Callithrix jacchus: one gene and its partners. The protein of the gene in region 1 interacts with the protein of each later gene in a pairwise test. Links are inferred from orthologs where the notes say so. Each region holds a gene or a part of one and is shown on either strand. Other genes may lie near its edges.

Region 1 (4,646 bases):
GAACGCTCTTCACACTTGAAAGGGTTAAGTGCCTGCATGGCCAAAGGCACCAGACTGCAAAAGAAATGTTGCTTTAGTAAGCTCTGAAAGGTTTCTAACAAGTACCAAATACTTGTTGATCTGCTCACAATAAACACCAGCAGGATTGTCAGGCTCCTTTCACTGTATGGGGAGACGCATTTACATACTGCACCTAGGAAGAACAGCTTGTTGGTCTCCTTTATAAAAGTTGAGTAGCTAGAAGCCTCCTTCAGTGTCTCCCATCCAAATGACTGAAAGAAGATGCAATTGAAATAGTGGAGTCTTTCGTCTAGCTTGGGCAGCATAAATGCTGTGCATAAAACATTTGGAGTAGTTCAGGCACAAGACAAACCCACCTGAATGGACGAGGAACACTGTCTGTTGCCATGGCAGCCTGATCTAATTACATGAGTGATCAGGGCTGGAGTAAGTGCACTGAAAACCTACACCACTGACAGCCAGCCAGGAGGTTCAAGGGAGCCCTTCAACCTCTGCTTTATGTAGAAGATGGCATTCAAGTCCATTTATTTGCAGAGCTGCTAAAATATTGACTGATGCATGCACAGCGAGAGGGCAATCAGAGGAGATTAAGTGCCACAGCATTAGCCGTTATGGTGCAATCCCTTTCCAAGAGTTCCTGTGCAGGATTTTCTCTTCTCTCTGGTGGTTTCCTCAGGCATAAGCTTCATTCCAAAAAAAAAAAAAAAGCCTAAGTATCAAACTACCTTTACCCACCAAATAAACCGAAGGGTGGGCTTAACGGGGGCTTCTAGGAACTGCAGCCTCCTAAAAAACCCAAACGGAAATGTCTTAGCTAACACTGTTGAAAAAGTAGCTATGCCTAAAAATAACCACCAAGTAACTACCCACTGCTGTGTGCAATATATAACGACAATGTTTAAATATTAAAAACAGCCTGCATTATAAAACGCAAATGTCATTGAGATGTGCACTACTAGATTGCCAAAGGAGAACTTATTTGCATACACACATTCCTGTGCATGCACGAATGTGCAGGCAGAAAGCCACTGTAAGGCACCAGTTTTTATTCTGTGGGTGTAATAGGGTCTTCTAATTTTGCTAATTGTATCCTGTGGATCTCACAGGGAAGCTCAGAATCTCTTCGGGGACAGAACCAGTTTGGAGGAGTCCCTACTGCACAGCATACGGTAAACAAAATAAAAATAGCTTGCCTTTCTTGTTAGCCACATCGCGCATTATATAACCAGCTTCTTCCGACTGGCTTTTTTTTTTTTTTTTTTTTTTTTTTTTTTTTGCCCTTACTACTCTTCAGCAATTTCCCAATCTTCTCAAGTATTTACATTACCTTTTTATCTGTAGGATAATACCAAGAAAGCAAAACAAAACAGACCAGCCACCGGCTCGAACCGAACCCCTGCCGTCCTTAGAAACTGATCTTTTTGTTTTGTTTTGTTTTCTGGCAGAGTCTGGATCACCACCCTACTTCCACCCCCCGCTAAGGTTCTTGCTCAATCTCCCTAGAAAACCTGAATTGTTTCACCGCTTCCAGTCAGCCCCCTACGTGGTTTGAAATAAAATGAAAGCACAGCCTCGGAGTTCAAGAAGGCAGCCTGAAGGCGGGGGGCTGAGAAGGGGTCGGGCGATGCAGAGTCAGCCAAGTGGCCGAGGAGGGGCCCCCTCCGCATCACGACAGCCCTCGCCCCCCGCCCGGCGCGCACGCACACACACATATACACATTCACACTCACTCACACACTCACTCACACGCCGCGCTCCGACACCGCCTCACCTCTCGCTCCGCCCGTCCGGCCCCCTTCCCTGCCCCCTGCGGGACCGGCCTGAGCGCAGCGCTGGAACCACGTAGGAGGCGGCGGCGGCGGCGGCCCCGGCCCCGGGAGTGGCAGAGTCTTCGGCCCGGCCCAGAGTGAACGAGCAGCGGGGCTCCAGGGCGCATCCCAATCCCCGCAGCGCCTCCTCCTCCTCCTCCGCCGCCGCCTCCTCCTCCTTCCCCTCCTCCTGGCTTCATTCACCCTCCCAGCAGCCGCGCAGCCGTTCACTCCCGGCTCCGGGCAGCGCCTGCCGCGGCTCCTCGGTTCCTGCCGCGGGCGCTGGCAGGGGCGCCGGCCCGGACTGGGGCGCTCGCGGGCTCGCGGCTCCGGGCGGCGGCGGCCGCTGCACAGGATCAGGAAGCGGCCGCACCAACAGGGCGGCGGTGGCGGCGGCAGCCAGGGCCGCCACCGCCACTCCAGCCGCGCTCCAGGCACCCGCACACCCGCTACCCCCGCGGGGTCCCCGAGGCCACCCCTCCGCGCCCCCCGCCTGGCACCCGGCCGAGCGCAAAGTCCCGGCCCCTTGGCTGGAGCAGTCCCTTCCCAGCCCACAGCCGTACAGCCGGCGAGGCCGGCCACGGAGGGAAGACCCTCGCCCAGGGGCGCCGAGGCCGGGCGTCCACCCGCGGGGAAGTGCAGCCCTCCCCGAGACCCCCCCTCTCTCACCGCCCTCTCCGGAGAGGAGGAATGGGAAGAGGGCGGCCGGGAAAGGGACCAGCCCCCCACCCCGGCCGCCGCCGCCTCCCCCTGCGCCACCCGGAGGGAGGAGGACATGGCTCTCGGCACTCGCGACCGGACCAGCAGTCTCCAGAGCGGGGCGCCGCCGCCGCTCTCCCTGCCCGCGCCCCCCGCCCGGGCGCGCCCCCTAGCCCGGCGGGCGCCCACCCGGCCCCTGACAGCCCCCCCGAACGGCCGCCCCTGCGCCCAGAGTGGGGGTGTCGGCCTGGGAGCCTGGAACCGGGGACGGTTGTATGTACACACACACGCACGCACACACACACACAACACGACGCGTCGATTCCCTTCGCTCCTCTTCCAGCTGTTTTCCGTGCAGCCGATTGGGGTTTTAGGGTTTGTTTGCTGGTTGTTGCTTTTGCCCCTCTCGGGAGATAGGGAGAGGAGGGATTTTAATCTAAATAAGGGGAGAAGGGGATGGGGGAGGGGGGAAAAGAATCAGAGGAGGAAAAAAAATAGCCACTTACTGTAAAGTGTAAATGGATCTGGGGTTGCGTGGGGAAGGGGGGCAGAGGGAGAGAAACAATGTCTGGCGGCTGCTCTTGCTCTGGCTGCTGCTCCCCGGGGCTTGTTTTGGATCCCCCTGCAGTGAAACAGGTCCTGTACGGCTCCGCCACTGTAGTAGAAATGATGTCTGCGGTATACTCTGCTCTCTCCTCCTCCTCCTCCTCCTCCTCCTCCTCCTCCCCCTCCTCCCGCTTCCCTCCCCTCCCTCCTCCCTCCGCCCTCCCTCCCTCGCGCTCTCTCGCGCTCGCTCGCTCGCTCGCTCGCTCCAGTATGTAAATGTGTAATAGAAGCCAAATATGGAGCAGTTGGCTGCCGCCGCCGCAGCTCAAGGATCCGACTTCATGGGGGTGGGGGGCACCCTCTGGCGGGCGGCCCGGCGAGCAGCACCGAGCCCTGAGCGCACCGCGCGGCGGCTGGCCCGCGCCCTTAACCCTTCGCGGCGCGCGGCCCGGGGAGGCGGGCACCTTTCCCCAAGAGTGGCTCGGGACGGGCCGCGGGGGAGGGGAGGAGCGGGGTGGAGGGCAAGGTTCCTTCCAGGTTTGGGAAGGGGGCGGGGAGCTGCGCGATGAGGTAATTGGAGCGGTGACCGGTCGGTCCTCGAGCGCCTCCCTGGGTCCCTGCACCTAGTTGGAGGGGACCGAGCGACCGCGGGGCGCTGCTCAGGCAACCTGGGGGACTCCCCCAAGGGGTGTCAGGCTTCAGCTGGCAGCCAATGAAACACCCCAGGGGGGAGGGGAGGTCGGCGGGTTCTAATCCCAACGTGCCCTGGGTCCCCGGCGCCCCGAGCCGCGTCTAAAAGGGCTCCCTCCGATCATCAGCTGCACGTTATTTAACCCGCAAACCGGCGTCGCTGCGGCGTTCGGGAACCCAGGCCCGGGGGCCTCGGGGATTGCCTCTGCGTGCAACTCCGCAAAGTTTCCCGGGCCCCCCGACTGCACAGGCGCCCTCACCTTCGCTGCCTGAGAACGCCCGGCCGTGCCCTCGCTCTCTCCGCAGGTCCGGAAATCGGCTTCGATCTGGAGCTACTTACTCCGCTCTAGCCTGGAAAGGAGACCCGCGCACTCCTCTCGCAGCTAATTTGGGATCATTAATTTAATCGGAAATGAGGTAACCAGTGTAAGAGACAGAGAAAGCCACCGGAGCATCAAATGGCAGCTCTCGGGAATCGATGAAGAACTTGAGTCTGGACTCTGTGTTTTAGTGCGGTCCGCGACTCCCACCACCCCGCCCGCCCCTCCGCCTGTCCCGCCGCCAGGTGTGACCTCCACGCGAAGGAATCTTCGTCGGCTGGGCTAACATTGCCAACAGGTGTGGCACCTGGAGGACTGGGAGGTGCCTCCAGACTACGGGCGCTCAGCGTGGCGTTTTTGCTGCAGATGATTCTGGAAGGCCAGTAGGTGTCGGGCAACATTTGACCTCCTTCAGGTGCTTAGAACTAGGTGTCTGGAAACATGACCCCTTCGCGTAAGTTTCTTTCTGAAAGCCACCGCTCTTGACTGTAAGCTGTATTTGAGAGACCTTTTGGCTGAGTTTACTTATGACCTAACGGTTAGTCACCCACTGAGGCAGGGC
Region 2 (4,677 bases), on another chromosome or scaffold:
CTAAACATGGTTTACATAAATTCTTATTTCAAGCTGTCCTCTTAATAGTTTCAAATTAGTCAAAATTGATCACTATATTACTAATAGGTAATGTGATTAAAGAAAGGCTTAGACAATATTTTCATGTCCAAGCCTTTCATGTTGTTTTGCATGCTTTTGAATCCTTACTATTGATATTTTGTGAGGGCTTTAGTTAAAAGTAGATCACATAATCTATAACTTCAGAGAATCCCACGTATATAAACTGGAATAAATCACAATAAGCTGAAAAGAAACAAGTGAGAGGCCAGCATACAAAACTCTATCTCATCCCTCAGGATACTATCAGAACCACGGCAGTTTCTTTAAACATTTTGCTTCCCTCCCCTTAAAAGATTTTTGAAAAACTATATACCCTTTTCCCATATTTTAAATTGACATATAAAGTTTTTAAGTTTAAATAGTTGTAAAGAATACGATGAGCAACATATTGTAAATCTTGACATTTACAAAATTTTACATCACTCTTTGGAAAGTACACACTTTTATCTGTATATATATGCACACTATTATAGTGTATATTACTATATATAATATTGTGTATTTTATAGTGTGTATACTATAGTATGTATTATACATAATATGTATATACAGACTATTAGTGTGTATTACTATATAGTACTTAACGTATTGCTTAATATATTATTCATAAGCAACTTAGTGTGTATATTACTATATAATAGTGTATAAATATAAACAGTATGTATTACTACATAATAGTGTATATATAAGCATATATATAATAGTGTATATATGTGTATATATGTATAATAGTGTATATATAATAGTGTAAAATAGTACAATACACATACACAGTATCATATATAGTAATACACACTATAATAGAGTATACACACACACACACACACACAGTGTCATCTACACACTTTGATAGTCTGGTACTTGCTCCTTCCATTTTCAAACAGACCTAAAGAGGCTATTATATAAAATGTACAAGTTTTATGTTTTCTTTTACTTTTTGAATTAATTTTTTTTATTTCTTGTGTGAAAATCTAATCTATGTAAGTTTTTGTGCTTAAATTGTGCTTTTATTATTGAAAACTCTGAAGCCTGTATAATACAACATGTACAATAAAAACATGTAACAAAGTTTTAGATTTCGTTTCATTTCCTATGACCAAAATAAGAAATGAAAAAGAAAAAAAGTCCTTTATAATTGAGTTATAATTTTTAATAGTATACAATTAGTAAAAAAAATGCAATTTTGATAAACAATACTTAAAAGAAGAAAGTAAATATCTATTGGAAATGCCTACAGAGATGAATCATGCACTTAATTAGATAAAAGTATACCATCAAAACAATTAGGTCCAGTAGTTAACAATTTACATTTTGTTAAAAGAATATAAGAAACATTAATAAGGTATAGGTTGCCTTTATTTAACATGATTTATAAAAGTCTCAACTCTCTTATTAATATACTCCTATTAAAGAAATTGTGTTTTATCCCAAAATTTTATCCAATGTATCTTAAAATATTTCAATTACTTTTTTAAAAAATCAGTGCCTCTAATCTATATTGCTTCTCTTTCCAACTATTAATATGAGCATAACAGCCAAAAATATCTGTTTATTTCAAATACATGGAAAAGGGAATTTAAATGCTCAAAACACATACAGATTTTTTTTTAATTATGTCGTGGAACTCTCCATCAAGTTCAGGAACTCCGACAAAAGTTGAATAAGGAAGCAGCAAATTATTTGAATGAAAATATATTACTCTTGCCACATCACTTTATCATATATATATGAATTCAGAGCATACCAACAAATGTAAATATATCACACTTCTAACAGATAGCTTCAACCAAATGAAAATAACTATAGGGACATTTTTAAAGCCCTACAGGTTTATGCTATCTTGACTAATCTTTGAAGGAGGCTTTACATTCCTTAGGCACTTTAAACTTCCTTACTAAATTTAAGGAATGAGGAGGGGTAGGCGTTACAAAGTGGAAGGTGCCAGAGGGAATTGAGGTAAGTCTGAGTTTCAAGCAAATCAATTTAAGGAACGAATATGTGTGAAAGTTAAGGACCTGGAAATTCATACCCTAAAACAACAACAAAAACCATGAACTCCCAAGGGTAGGAGTAACTCTTTTGAAGACCACAACCATAGCCCAAAGTCAAGTCCTATGTTAAAATCAGTAAACACAATTTCTGTTTTCAGGTTAAAAAACAAATATAATAAAAATAGAAAATATATTCTACCCACACCGCAGTGGATCAAACTAATGTTAACTTTGTTAACATAGCTGGCTCACCGCATTTTGGAGACAACGGACATCAATACTAACGGTTTGAGTTCCTTTCTGAAAATAAGGGGGTAGCTACCAGGACACTAGGATTACAACTTGCAACTCCCAAAGGTGATGTAGAATAAAAGTTGTAAGAAAGAGCAACGTGCCCCCGCCTGGGGTCGAGGGAGAAAGTCTAAACAGATTGCCATTCGAATAACAGTAAAGACTAGGAGTCATTTACCATACACCTTAATTTATTCATAAGGAACTTAAAGAACAAGAAGTGGTTAAGAAATTCAGAAAGAGGATCTCTAGCAACATTGAGTGGGGGGCGGGGGACTGATGTACCACCGATTATTACTGGAACAAAAAGAGGGCGGCTTGTTCCTACATTCCAGGAAATAAATTTCCAAACACACGTTACTCCCTCGGCTCCACCAGGATGCTCCTCGAGGGACCTCAAGAACGCCTGAGCTCCAAGTCATCCCAGGGTCAACGCTCGCCCCGACCCTGGTTCCCAACATCCCCTGAGTACGGGCATTGCTGAATACCAGGCACGGACGCCGCGAGCAGGAGCCACGGGCGGACCCGCACGCTGGCACCGCCTCCGGGGACGCCACATCCCGCGAGGGAGAGAGACACGACCAAGCGGCTGGGACTCACCTCTCCTCCGTATCCCGGGTAGGCCATGACGAGCAGCGAGCGTCACACTCCGAGTCAGCGACGCTGTCTGTGCAGGGAGAAAAGCAAAGGTGAAGGTGCAGGGAGGGGCAGCTACAGGTGAGGCTGAAAGACGCACTAACTGCACAGTTCACTCCTCCGAACCCGCCCCCTTCCGCAGTCCAGCCCCACCCCCGCCCGGTTCCGATTGGCTGAGTCCCGCACTTTGGAGCCAACTCTGCTGTAGTCCGCCCCTTCCCTCAGCCTAGCCTCACCCATCTCTACCCTGATTGGCTACTCCCGTCGGGAGCCCAGCCAGTCCCTGCTTATTGGCTCGCTCAGGTTCTCAGGCGCTCTACTTCTAACTTGCTAAGAAGCCTTTTGTTAACTTCCCACTCTCTTTGGAAAGGTCTCCAAGCCTTCAACTCCCCAAGTTACTTTTCTTTCTGGAAACCCCAAACCGGCAGGTCTGTGACTTATTTTAACTTATTCCTCCACTCTTTTGAGCTGGACTTCAAAGACCCATCTGTAAATTTCAAAATTTGCAGTTACATTTACTTTTGTATAGTGTTGATGTCACGTCAAAACTTTGCAACCAGTACCACACCTGTGCTCTAAGAGGAGTGCTTCTGTGCCAAAACCCACTTGAGGCCACATTATACGAACAAGTTATTGATTTTGTTTGGTAGATAAATGGTCACCTGAATTGTGAGATTTGGCAAATTAAAAAAAAAATACAGGATATATAGTTAAATTTGATTTCCAATTAATTTTTTTTAGTGTGTGTCCCAAATATTGCACTGGACATGAATATATACTAAAAAGTTATTTGCTGTTTATACACTGATAATATAGAAGGTGTCTGGCACATAATCTCAATCAACCTTTGGGCAAACTCTTGTTAAATGTTCAATTACTTTGGCTTATTAAGTAATAGCAATGGACAAATCTGATTTGTCTCTGGAACTCAAATGAATTTTGTAGCTCTGACTTAAAAAGGACAGGGAAGCTGTAGAAATAAAACCAAATAAAAAGATCAAATGATATTATTTTGAGTTATCTCTGAAGAACAAGAGAAGGGCTAACATGTTTCTTAAAAATAAGGCTGTCAAAAAAAAAGTGTTAACTATTTGCAAAGGAAATCAGCCTTGCAGAGCTGAGTATCTATTTGAAAAATAGAAAATGGCCTTATTGGTGCAACTGCATTTGTGTAGTTGGGAGTTAAGTCCCCATGGGTTTCTTGCCTTTCTCCACATTTAATTTCAAATATAGTATTTCCTGCTGGGGCAAAGTTTGGGTAGGTTTGCTATGCTACAGAGGAGGATGTTAGACCTTGTGAAACAATTCTCAGAGGAAAAGGCGGAGAGAAAGGAAGATTGCTGATGTGGAAGCCACTCTTGGGAAAGTGTAAGTTTCTTCAATTTTGTAAGAAATACTTAAGCCACTAAGGTTAAATTATTGGCATAAATATATAGATGGGAAGAGTAAAACCTACTTGATAAGAGGGGAAAATGGCATGGCTTATGAAGGTATCAAGTGACAAAGCACAAGAAAGAACAAAGCATTGCAAAATTTTATTCCAAATGATTACATATTCAAAGAAATGCTTAGAAAGGATTGAGTGTTTGCATTTACAATATTAGTCTAGCTATGGTCAAAATTTTTGTGCATCTCCTTTTGATGAAAATAGCCTTATTGATGCAACTGCATTTGTGTA
Region 3 (4,794 bases), on another chromosome or scaffold:
CCATTCTCTGGCATGGAGAGAAGCTGCGGTGTACCCTGGCAAGTGGGCCCTCCTGGTCACTCTTCCTCCCAGTGCACCCAGTTTGTCCAGCTGGGAGCCTGGACCACCAAGTCTGTTCTTCTGAACCCCATCCTAGAGACAGGGCCTGGCCTGTTTCCCCCCTACCTCCCCATATCCTGGGCGGCCCCTTATTTCCTCAATCCCCACAGCATCTCCTGAAAGGGCACGAGGCATCTGGCAGTGGGTGGTGGTGGATGTGGCGCAAGCTGACTCAGAGCAGAGCTGGCACGAGGGGGTCCTTCCAAGGGTGGCAACAAAGGGGGTGATGGGCAGGCCCTATGTGGTAAGAAGGGATGGAGACCAAGAGAGGAGGAGGACTCCCTAGGAGGGTTGCTGAGTGGCTCAGATGCAGGGCTGATCCTGCCTGGGGGCAAGCAGGAGGCAGCCAGTGATTCCCAGGGGGCACCAACACTGATAAATAAGCCTGGAATGTTGGCGTCACTACCTGATGTGCACTGGCCCCCTCTGTTGTACCTGCCTCACACTGAGCTGGGTGGGCAGCACCCAAACACACTCTCTTCCATCTCCCCCACCTACACAGTCTGGAGACAGGAGATTCTTTGAGCCAGGGTGAAGTGTGGGATGGAAGGAGGCTAGCAGGGGTCCTGGATTCTCTCTCTGCCACCTCTGCCCTGCTGAATACCCCCAACCCAACCCACAGCCTAGTCTGTGTTAGTGCAGAGTCCTTCAAAAGAGTGAAGTGTAGGAGAGGGCCGGAGGGCCAGGGCTTCAGCTGACCTAGCACAGAGGGCTAGGCCTCACCCTGGCTCAAAGAAGCTCCTGTCTCCAGACTGTGTGGGTGGGGAGATGGAAGAGAGTGTGGTTGGGTGCTGCCCACCCAGCTCAGTGTGAGGCAGGTACAACAGAGGGGGCCAGTGCTCATCAGTGATGCTGGCTCATGTATGTAATCTCTGCCCTCCCCACCCCTTGAATCTCCAAGCTCAGACCCAGAGGTGACAACACTGGAGGGTCCCTGGGCTGGGAGGAGGGAGAGGCACAGACCTGCAGGCCCTCACCTTCCCCAACACACAGCTGAGCAGGCAGCCTGCTGGAGTGCTGAGGCAGCACCACCCCGCGCTCCTGCCCGCCTTCCAGAGCTCCCAGGGAGGGGGCTGGAGTGAACAGGCCTTTGTATGGAAAGCCGGGCAGAGCCTGGGAGGCCCCAAGCCCCTGGAGGCAAGCAGGGGGACTGTGTATGTCTACCCAGGGTGACTAGAGGGCAACCGGGGTCAGCGGCATTGGAGCTTAGGGGAGGTTCAGCTCCCAGACCGTCTGCTTGACAGAAGTTGTCACAAATATTCTAAGCAATAGAATATCCCTGGGGTACCTCTGCCAGACTCCACCCTGATCCTATGTCCTCCTCCTCCGTAGGAACAGGGTAAACACGATCCTCCTCAGGGTCACTCCCTTGATGACCTTGACCTTGAATTAACCTCAACTCCTATGGGGTGGTCAAGATGGAAGGAGGAGGAAGGGGAACAGTAGGAAGAAGCCTAGGGAGCCAGCGATTCCTCCGGAACCCAGGCCCACCATTTCTGGTCCTCACTGTCCCCCTTCGCCACTGGAAAACAGGAACAGGATGGGAACAAAATACCAGGGGAAGAGAGAGGGAGGAGGTCTTGGCCTGAAGTCTGGGAGGGGGCAGGGCGCACCCTTGGCACAGCCCTTTCCGCCCCATCCCCCGGCCCGCTCAGGTTGCTCCCGCAGAACAAAACTTCTCGCGGGCCAGTCGCCAGAACCTAGAACTTGGGAACGGAGCAGACGGATTAGAAGAGGGGGGTGCTGAGTGTGAGCGGCGGTCTCTCCACACCCCGTTCAGGGCCAGGAGTCTGGGCTCCGCCCGCCTTCGCGGGGAGTAATTTATTCATGGTGACTCCCGCAGGAGTAACAATCATCCATAATTAGGGTTAATGATGACATTCATTAATTACGATGACTTCTCTTTTCGCTTCTACCCGCTCCCCCGGCGCCCCACCGCTTGGTCCCGCTCCCGGGGTAGGGGGTGGGGCTGCCTTTCTGGTCTGGAGCCACAACCGCAGGCCCGGGTCCCCGCCCGCTACCGACGGCCCGCGCTGCCGCAGGCCCCCGCGCGGACTCCGCAGCTGCGCACCCCCGGCCGCGGCCTCGCGTCCCCGAGCCCAACCCCGCTGGGAGCGGGGAATGCAGGACTGCGGAGGGGCAGGGAGAGACACCCAGAGACGCGGAGATAAACACCCAGAGACGCGGGGAGAGACGCGGAGAGACGCACACAGAGAGACGCCAAGACACAGACACGCAGGTTGTAGAGACACATTCAGAGACACGAGCGAGGGCAGAGGGGCAGACTGAGCCCGGCACGGGGACCCGGCGGCCGTGGGAGGGTGCGCCTCGCTCGCACAGCCGGGCACGCACCCCGCCCGCGCCGCTCCACACGCGCCCTCCGGCCTCCCTGCGCCCATCCCTCCAACGAAGCCCGGTTGCCGCCTCCCCGGAGGGTAGCGATGGCGCGCGCGGCCGTGCGGTGCTGGTGTGATCTGGGGCTCCTCGTGGCCCCTCGTCGCCAATCCACTCCTCCCCCCGAGCGTGGCGCGGAGCCTCAGTGGTCACGCGGGCCCCGCGACCGCGACCCCAGGACGACCGGGCCCACAGGAGGACCCCGCCGGGAAGAGGGCGCCTGGGCCAGGGACACACGGGGCGGGGACAGGCCTCGCGCCCCCCAAGTTACCTTGGTTTCCTGGAGGGCGGAGACGGTCCCTGGGGGGCTGTGGGTGGCCGCGTCATCCGGTTCGTTCTCCTTCTCGCTCATCTCGGTCATGGTTCGGGAGGAGGGTCGGAGAAGGTGCGGAGACCCGACGGCAGGCCGGCCGCGGGCAGGCTGCGGGTGGCGGGCGTCTCCGGGACTCTGAAGCCCTTCTCCAGAGGCTGCCCCCAGTTGGCCTCCGGCACGGCAGCCCCCCACCCGCGGGCGCGGGCGGAGAAAGTTGCCGGGGTGGCGGGCGAGGGGAGGCGACCACGCCGAGCCGCGGGAGCGGGACCACCCCGGGCGAGAGGACCGAGGGTCTGCAGAGGATGCTGCTCGGAGCGCAGGGAGGAGGAAAGTGGGACCGCGGGGATGAGCCGAGGGAGGGAGCCACGGAGCTGTCCGTGTCCGGCCGGTTCCGCCGTCCTCTGCGCCCGCCCCCCATTCCCTCCCCTCCCCCGCCGGCCCCAGCCCGGCACCCGGTGGCCCCTCCGCCCAGTCCTCGCTGCCCAACTTTGATTTAGGAGGTCGCCTGGTCCCGCCCCCTGCCCTCCGCCGCTCCCCCTCGCCGCCATGCAAATCGGGCTCTCAGCTATTGGCTGCCGCTGTGGCCAGGAGGGCGAGCTAGGCTGAATCTTGGGGGGCTCGACACGATGGGGCGGGGCTTGGCGGTGAAAGAAGCGAAGGAGGGAGTTTCACACTGAAAAACCCGGGATGCGGGGGGCGTGACCAGATTGAGGGAAGCTTGGGGAGATCATAGTAGCGTCTGGATGGGTTGCAGTGAACAGAAATAGGTTGGGGCTGCAGCAAGATAGCTGAGAGTGAGATCGAAGTTAGGACTTCCTGGAGAGCGAAGATCGAAAGATGTCAGAGGTTGGTGAAGGAAGAATGGGGACCCATCTGTGCCATTAAAAAAATTGGATGCCTCTATGCCCTGAAAAGACTCTCTCCAAATATACACACACCTGGACTATGGTGTATGCGTCAAAGTCAGGCCAGACAATTCCTCCTTGTGATGGAAAGCAGGATGATTCTACCCCTTTCCGGGCTTGGTGTCTGAACTTCAGCAGAGATGGGGCCTCAGTCCTCACACCCAAAGTCCCCAAACTTCACTACAACACGCTCCCCTCCTGAAGATCCTACCACAGCTGGAGTTAGATCAGGGGATAATACCGAGAGGTGGGGGAAGAGGTCCTCACCCTCCAAGGTGCCCCTCCCTCCACCTGGTCTGACAATAACCTTCTATTTATTTTTTACTTTTTATTTAGAAACAGGGTCTCACTCTTTCACCCAGGCTGGAGTGGTGTGATCATAACTCACTGCAGTCTCAGGCTCCTGGGCTCAAGCGATCCTCCTACCTCAGCCTCTCTAATTGCTGGGACCACAGTCATACACCACCATGCCTGGCTAATTTTTAAAATTTTTTGGTAGAGATGGAGTCTTGCTATGTTACACAGGATGATCTCCAACTCGTGGGCTCAAGCGATCCTCCCACTTTGGCCTCCCAGCTTGTTGGGATTACAAGCGTGAGCCACTGTGCCCAGTCAAGATATTTCTTCTTCTCCTCCTCCTTCTCTTTTTCCTTTTTTTTTTTTTTTTTGACAGGGTCTTGCTCTATTGCCCAGGCTGTAGTGCAGTGGCCTGATCACAGCTCACTTCAGCCTGGACCTCCTGGGCTCAACTCTCCCAAACAACTGGGACCACAGGCACATGCCACTTCACCCGGCTAATTTTTAAATTTTTTGTAGAGATGGAGTTTATGTTGCCCAGGCTGGTCTTAAACCCCTAGGCTTAAGTGATCCTCCTGCTTCAGCCTCCCAAAGTGCTGGGATTACAGGTGTGAGCCACCACACTGGCCAAGATGCTTCTTCTAATGTATGTTGATTATCTGGGACCCATTTTCCCAGGTCCCCCTTTCCTTCTGCCCCTTCTGGCTCTGACCAGCAGATCTGACTTCTCTCCTCGTGTGAGTGGAGGGACTTCTGGGTTTAAGTCTCCCTCCTCCTCTGCTGTAG
Region 4 (4,790 bases), on another chromosome or scaffold:
AAAGTTTTTCATTTTATTTATTTCTTTATTTTTATATATTTTTTGTGCTTTTGTTGTTTTTTGATGGTTTTTGTTTTTCGTTGTTGTTGTTGAGACGGGTCCGACTCTGTGGCCCAGGCTGTAGTACAATGGTGTCATCAGGGCTCACCGCAGTCTCTAACTCCTGGGATCAAGGGATCCTCCTGTTTAGGCCTCTCAAAGTGCCGGAATTACATGCAGGTGGCTTTGCCTGCCTGGCCTACGCCTACGGTTCTTGACTCTTCTGAACTGCAAGTTTACCCTTGTGAAATTGAGGGATGATAATAGTGATACCTACCTCTAGGATAGCTGTGACGGTTAGATGAGGAAAACAAAACAGCCGATAGAGCAGAATTTTCCAAAGGGCGGCTAAGTTGGTCCAGGTGATCCGGTCAATATTTGCCGATGCCTTTTACATGACAGGCATAAAAAGCATTTGTGATGCACACAGATTTGTTGAAGAAAGGTTGAAAATCTGTCCAACAGCAGACTTAGAATAGGGTACATCTCTGGCCAAGAGCCTTGATTTATTACACTTGCTACCCTTAAATCTTATCTGGTGATGGAATTCAACATGTATAATGACTTATACACCCTTTATTCAGAATTGGGGAATATTTCAAGCATCAATGTGGCAGGCCAATACTCTGATCCTTATGCACCGGCGTCCTATATGGGAGGACTGTGCTTCTTGAAAATCGAGGGTTACTGTCCCCTTTTATCCATCCTCTAAACAGCTTTTCTCTGAGTCCTCAACTCTCAAGTCTAAGAATGTATGTTGTGAGTCTAGAGAGAGCCTGAAGCCAGAGGATTAGTGGAATCAATTTCCCTTCTTTCTTCAACTCCAAAAGAGATCATCCTCCATAAATCTTCATGCCTTTTCAATCTACTTAGCTGTCTCAAGCAGTGAGGTTGATAATTTTAGGATTCTTTATTTGGAAAGAAGAGGTGATTAATTCATGCTTTCAACACCCATGGCTGTCTCAAATATGGACCTCAGGAAAGTGCAGGTCCAGGAATTTTGAGTCTGGGATCATATACTGTGAGATAAGAACAAGTTGGAAAGTCAATAGATTCCTCTGAGTTCCCTACTTGGAACTGAGAATTGAGACTGGGGACCTAATAGCAGAGACACCCTCACTGAGCTAGCCAAGTGTCTTTCTCTTACTCACCTGACCCACACATAGCATAAACACCAAGTGATTTCCATGCTACCCAAGTAATGACCGTCTTGAATCTAATTCCTTCTGTCCACTATTTATCTCCATTATCTTCATGTAGAGTCTAAACCACAGCCACCCTTATTGCAATAGTGGTCTAACTCAAGGTCTCTTGCTTTCAGTCTTGCCTCTTATTCCTTTCTATCCAGTGTTTCCATTTTTCCACAAACCTTTATGAAAAGCTAAATCAAGTCATGCTTCCCCATGAAAACTCATTAGTGGTTTCCTGATTGTCTTCCAGGTAATATTGAAACTCTTTAATGTGGCACACAAGGCTTTCCTGATCTGGCCACCTTGTTTATCTCTCCAGTCTTGTTTCTTGCCACTTCTCTCTTTTTATAGATACTCTCTTCCCTTCCTAACCTGCCTCTTTGGCCCCTACCACTCTTCCCCTGCATACAAATGGATACTGCTCCAACTGTAGCATTTGCATTTCTCAGAGGAGGAGGTTTTGCATTCTCTTTTTCCTCGACTGCTGCACCTGCTATTTCCTCTGTCTGGAACATTTCTTGCACTATATCCCCCTGTCCTCCTCAACTCTTAAAGATACATTAAGTTTCATTTTAGACAGCTTCTTCCAGGAAACCTCCCCTGATGATTCCAGGACACTTACTTTTACCCCCAGGAGAGCTGTTGTGATCTCCTCAGAATTCCCCATTTACTTGTTTGTTTTCACCGAAGCTTGTAGGCAGTGCCTAGTACAATTCCTCTTATATGGTAGACACTCAATACGTAGCTGTCAAATGAGTTAATGCATGAACCTGTGAATTCCATAACACCATAAGGGGTCCATCAGTGCAGGATAAAGAACGCAGATACAATTTGCTTTGAAAATGATTCAAATAAAGCTGCCTCCACAATGTATTTGTATCTGATAATTGGGTGTATGCCTAAAAAATCCAACATGTGTTCAGTGACAGCTTTTACTGCAGAAGTGCAAGCACTGAGAGGCTGTGCAGTAACCTTGCTGTCGCCATAGCAACCTCGCAGAGGGAAAGGCTGATGATTTAGTGTTCAGATGCTTCTTAGCGCTGTACTTTTGGAACCCAAGCCTGTTTTTCCACTGTTCTAAAAGGCAAGTTTTACCAATGATAATATCTATGCTGTCTTAATTTCATTCAAGTGTTTCTTATGTCATTAGAAGAAATGTAACATTTGGATTATGCCATCAAAGAGATATAATGTAATACAGCATAATATGGTCTTCTTTCCTCTGCTTCAAAACATTCTTGTGCATTTTCATTTTCTACTTAAAGACTTATTTTATGATCTTATCATCTTGTAGCTTCTTTAAAAATTAATGTATTTCTGGCTGTTAGAAAATATTACTTACTTTAGAATTAAACCTTTAAAGATTATAAACAATACCTGTCCAAGCCCGGCAAGGCACAGGAGAGATAGGGTACTGTAGACTGGGAAGAAAGATAATGTCTTTATATAATTATTCCCCCAAATTTGGGGTAAGTTATTGACTGTTTATGTGAAGTTTGTAATTAAGTCACTCCTCCCTTTCCTGTGCACACAACTTTATATTTTCAGAACTCTTTCACATATATAATCTTATTTGAGCCTCACGAAAATCCTGTGAGGTACATGTGGCCAATCTCTGAGACCAGATAAGTGAAAAAGCACAGATTTTTATTAATAGGAATCCCCCAGACTGCAAACTTCACAGAGAAGACAATACAAATGCACTGCCGAAAAGAAAACGCCTGCAGCAAACAACCAAGACACACCACGGTCCCTCACATCCACTCTTCCTCGCATCTCACCTGTGTTTGCTGGGGGCTTCCTTGGGCTCAATCAGGGCTGACAAAGCACCATCTCCTAATCCTATCAGCTGTGTGAGCAAGCACTGCCGTCTCTCTCGGTGACCCAATGTTGGGTATCTGCACAGCAACAAGGAGCAGCTGACGTGCTGCACAAGACGTCACGAAGGAAAGAAACTGCATTCTGGGGCATCCTGGGATTTTTGTGTGTCTGGTGTGGGGTGGGGTGGAGACCCATATTTTTCTTACCAGGGAGAGAGCTGTCTGTTTTCCTGTAAGAGCATTTGTGCATGATCAATCCTCCTCTTTTTTTTTTTTTTTCTTTTTTTCTTGTGATGGAGTCTTGGAGTCTTGCTGTCGCCAGGCTGGAGTGCAGTGGTGTGATCTCAGTTCACTGCAACCTCCGCATCCTGGGTTCAAGCAATTCTCCTGCCTCAGCCTCCCAAGTAGCTGAGACTACAGGCGGGCACCACCACACCTGGCTAATTTTTATATGTTTTGTAAAGACAGGGGCTTCACTGTGTTGGCCAGGATGGTCTTGGTCTCCTGACCTCGTGATCTGCCTGCCTCAGCCTCCCATAGTGCGGGGATTACAGGCGTAAATCACCACGCCAGGCCCAACCCTCCTCACCCTCCTCTTAATATATGTGTGTTATTGTTACTATATGGTTGAGGTACTTTGATGTTGTAAAACTGAAATGACTAGAATTGCACAAGATCACTTCCCCAGGAGGGGGCCCAGAGGGTGCTTGGGGCAGGGAGGGCAGTGGGTAACCTGAGGCAGGGCATGCTTGAACATTCACTGAGCTCAGAGTGTGTCAATTATCTCTGCCCGACAAATGAGTGCTCAGAGTGTTCTCTCAGTGAAAAACAGAAATTAAGGGCAAGTCCAGAGGAAGAGGCAGAGGTTGGGAGCTTGGAGCCTTGAAGGATGGTCTAATCCTCTGCTTGCCTTATGGCGGAGCAGATCTGAGATCATCTTCCCCCAAAATAGCTTTTCGTTTGTGGCATTTGGTTCATCTTTGAAAATAGGGTAGGATACTCATCAAAAACACAGGCACGGTGATTGCATTAAACAAAATGGGGACACATGGTTAGACAAGTAGGTATATACTTATTGAGACAAGGAATCAGAATGATTGAAATTAAGAGGCTCTAGAAAGTATGAGTGTAAAGATTGCCATTTAAGTAGGGGAAACTGAGACTTGACATTTATCTAGTGAAATGCTTCCTAAGTTTGGACAATCTGTTTGTCTCACAGATGTACAGAAAAGACAAAGGTCGTTAATCTGTAAGACATGAAAAGGAAAGCCTAAATCCAATAGTTAAATTCTAGGGTAATAGAGAAACACTTTCGTTCTCCAAGAAACCAGAAGATGTGAGAAAGGCAGCTGAAAGCTGCCTGAACCCAGCAGGGCAGCTATAGAGAGAGGATGCTTCTCAGACATGCAAGCACAGAGCAGATATGCAGGCTGGAGGCTGTGAGGGGTTCACTCGGCATCCATAGCAGTCTAGGCTTAGAAAATAAGTTGATATCTAGGTTCCCAGAAAGCAGATCTATGGCTAGATTTGAATTACATTAAAAATAGCATGCTCTCCATAATATAATTTATTTACATAATTTTTGCTTTTGGCTTCCACTTTCTAGTATACATCTTAAAAATTAACTTTGTCTTTATTTCTGCTGAAAAACTGAGAGCAGGAGCAAAAGAGGAAGATTTTGAGCTTCTCTTCCCAAAGAACAAAAGCACTATTGCCGAATGAGGCCGAGCGCCCCCAGAGG

What was found. The genes of interacting proteins can lie anywhere in the genome.
Region 2: the proteins of ATXN1 (region 1) and GCA interact in binary tests that used the Homo sapiens proteins (3 or more experiments, as listed by UniProt). The link is inferred for Callithrix jacchus from reciprocal best matches to the Homo sapiens genes ATXN1 and GCA.
Region 3: the proteins of ATXN1 (region 1) and STAC2 interact in binary tests that used the Homo sapiens proteins (3 or more experiments, as listed by UniProt). The link is inferred for Callithrix jacchus from reciprocal best matches to the Homo sapiens genes ATXN1 and STAC2.
Region 4: the proteins of ATXN1 (region 1) and SYBU interact in binary tests that used the Homo sapiens proteins (3 or more experiments, as listed by UniProt). The link is inferred for Callithrix jacchus from reciprocal best matches to the Homo sapiens genes ATXN1 and SYBU.

What each region holds. Positions count from the first base shown.
Region 1 is NC_133505.1:13,913,607-13,918,252, reverse strand, and holds the start of ATXN1 (ataxin-1), read right to left. Parts: upstream 3,216-4,646; 5' UTR 3,035-3,215; intron 2,607-3,034; coding exon of another isoform or gene 1,793-2,606; intron 1-1,792. Other genes in the region: uncharacterized protein LOC128931873, read right to left, coding at 1,793-2,606. UniProt on the Homo sapiens protein: Chromatin-binding factor that repress Notch signaling in the absence of Notch intracellular domain by acting as a CBF1 corepressor. Binds to the HEY promoter and might assist, along with NCOR2, RBPJ-mediated repression. Binds RNA in vitro.
Region 2 is NC_133507.1:67,350,064-67,354,740, forward strand, and holds the start of GCA (grancalcin), read right to left. Parts: upstream 3,140-4,677; 5' UTR 2,991-3,139; coding exon 2,964-2,990; intron 1-2,963. UniProt on the Homo sapiens protein: Calcium-binding protein that may play a role in the adhesion of neutrophils to fibronectin. May play a role in the formation of focal adhesions.
Region 3 is NC_133506.1:119,710,176-119,714,969, forward strand, and holds the start of STAC2 (SH3 and cysteine-rich domain-containing protein 2), read right to left. Parts: upstream 3,140-4,794; 5' UTR 2,855-3,139; coding exon 2,765-2,854; intron 1-2,764. UniProt on the Homo sapiens protein: Plays a redundant role in promoting the expression of calcium channel CACNA1S at the cell membrane, and thereby contributes to increased channel activity. Slows down the inactivation rate of the calcium channel CACNA1C.
Region 4 is NC_133517.1:87,409,884-87,414,673, reverse strand, and holds the start of SYBU (syntabulin), read right to left. Parts: upstream 3,140-4,790; 5' UTR 3,011-3,139; intron 2,000-3,010; 5' UTR 1,897-1,999; coding exon 1,852-1,896; intron 428-1,851; coding exon 317-427; intron 1-316. UniProt on the Homo sapiens protein: Part of a kinesin motor-adapter complex that is critical for the anterograde axonal transport of active zone components and contributes to activity-dependent presynaptic assembly during neuronal development.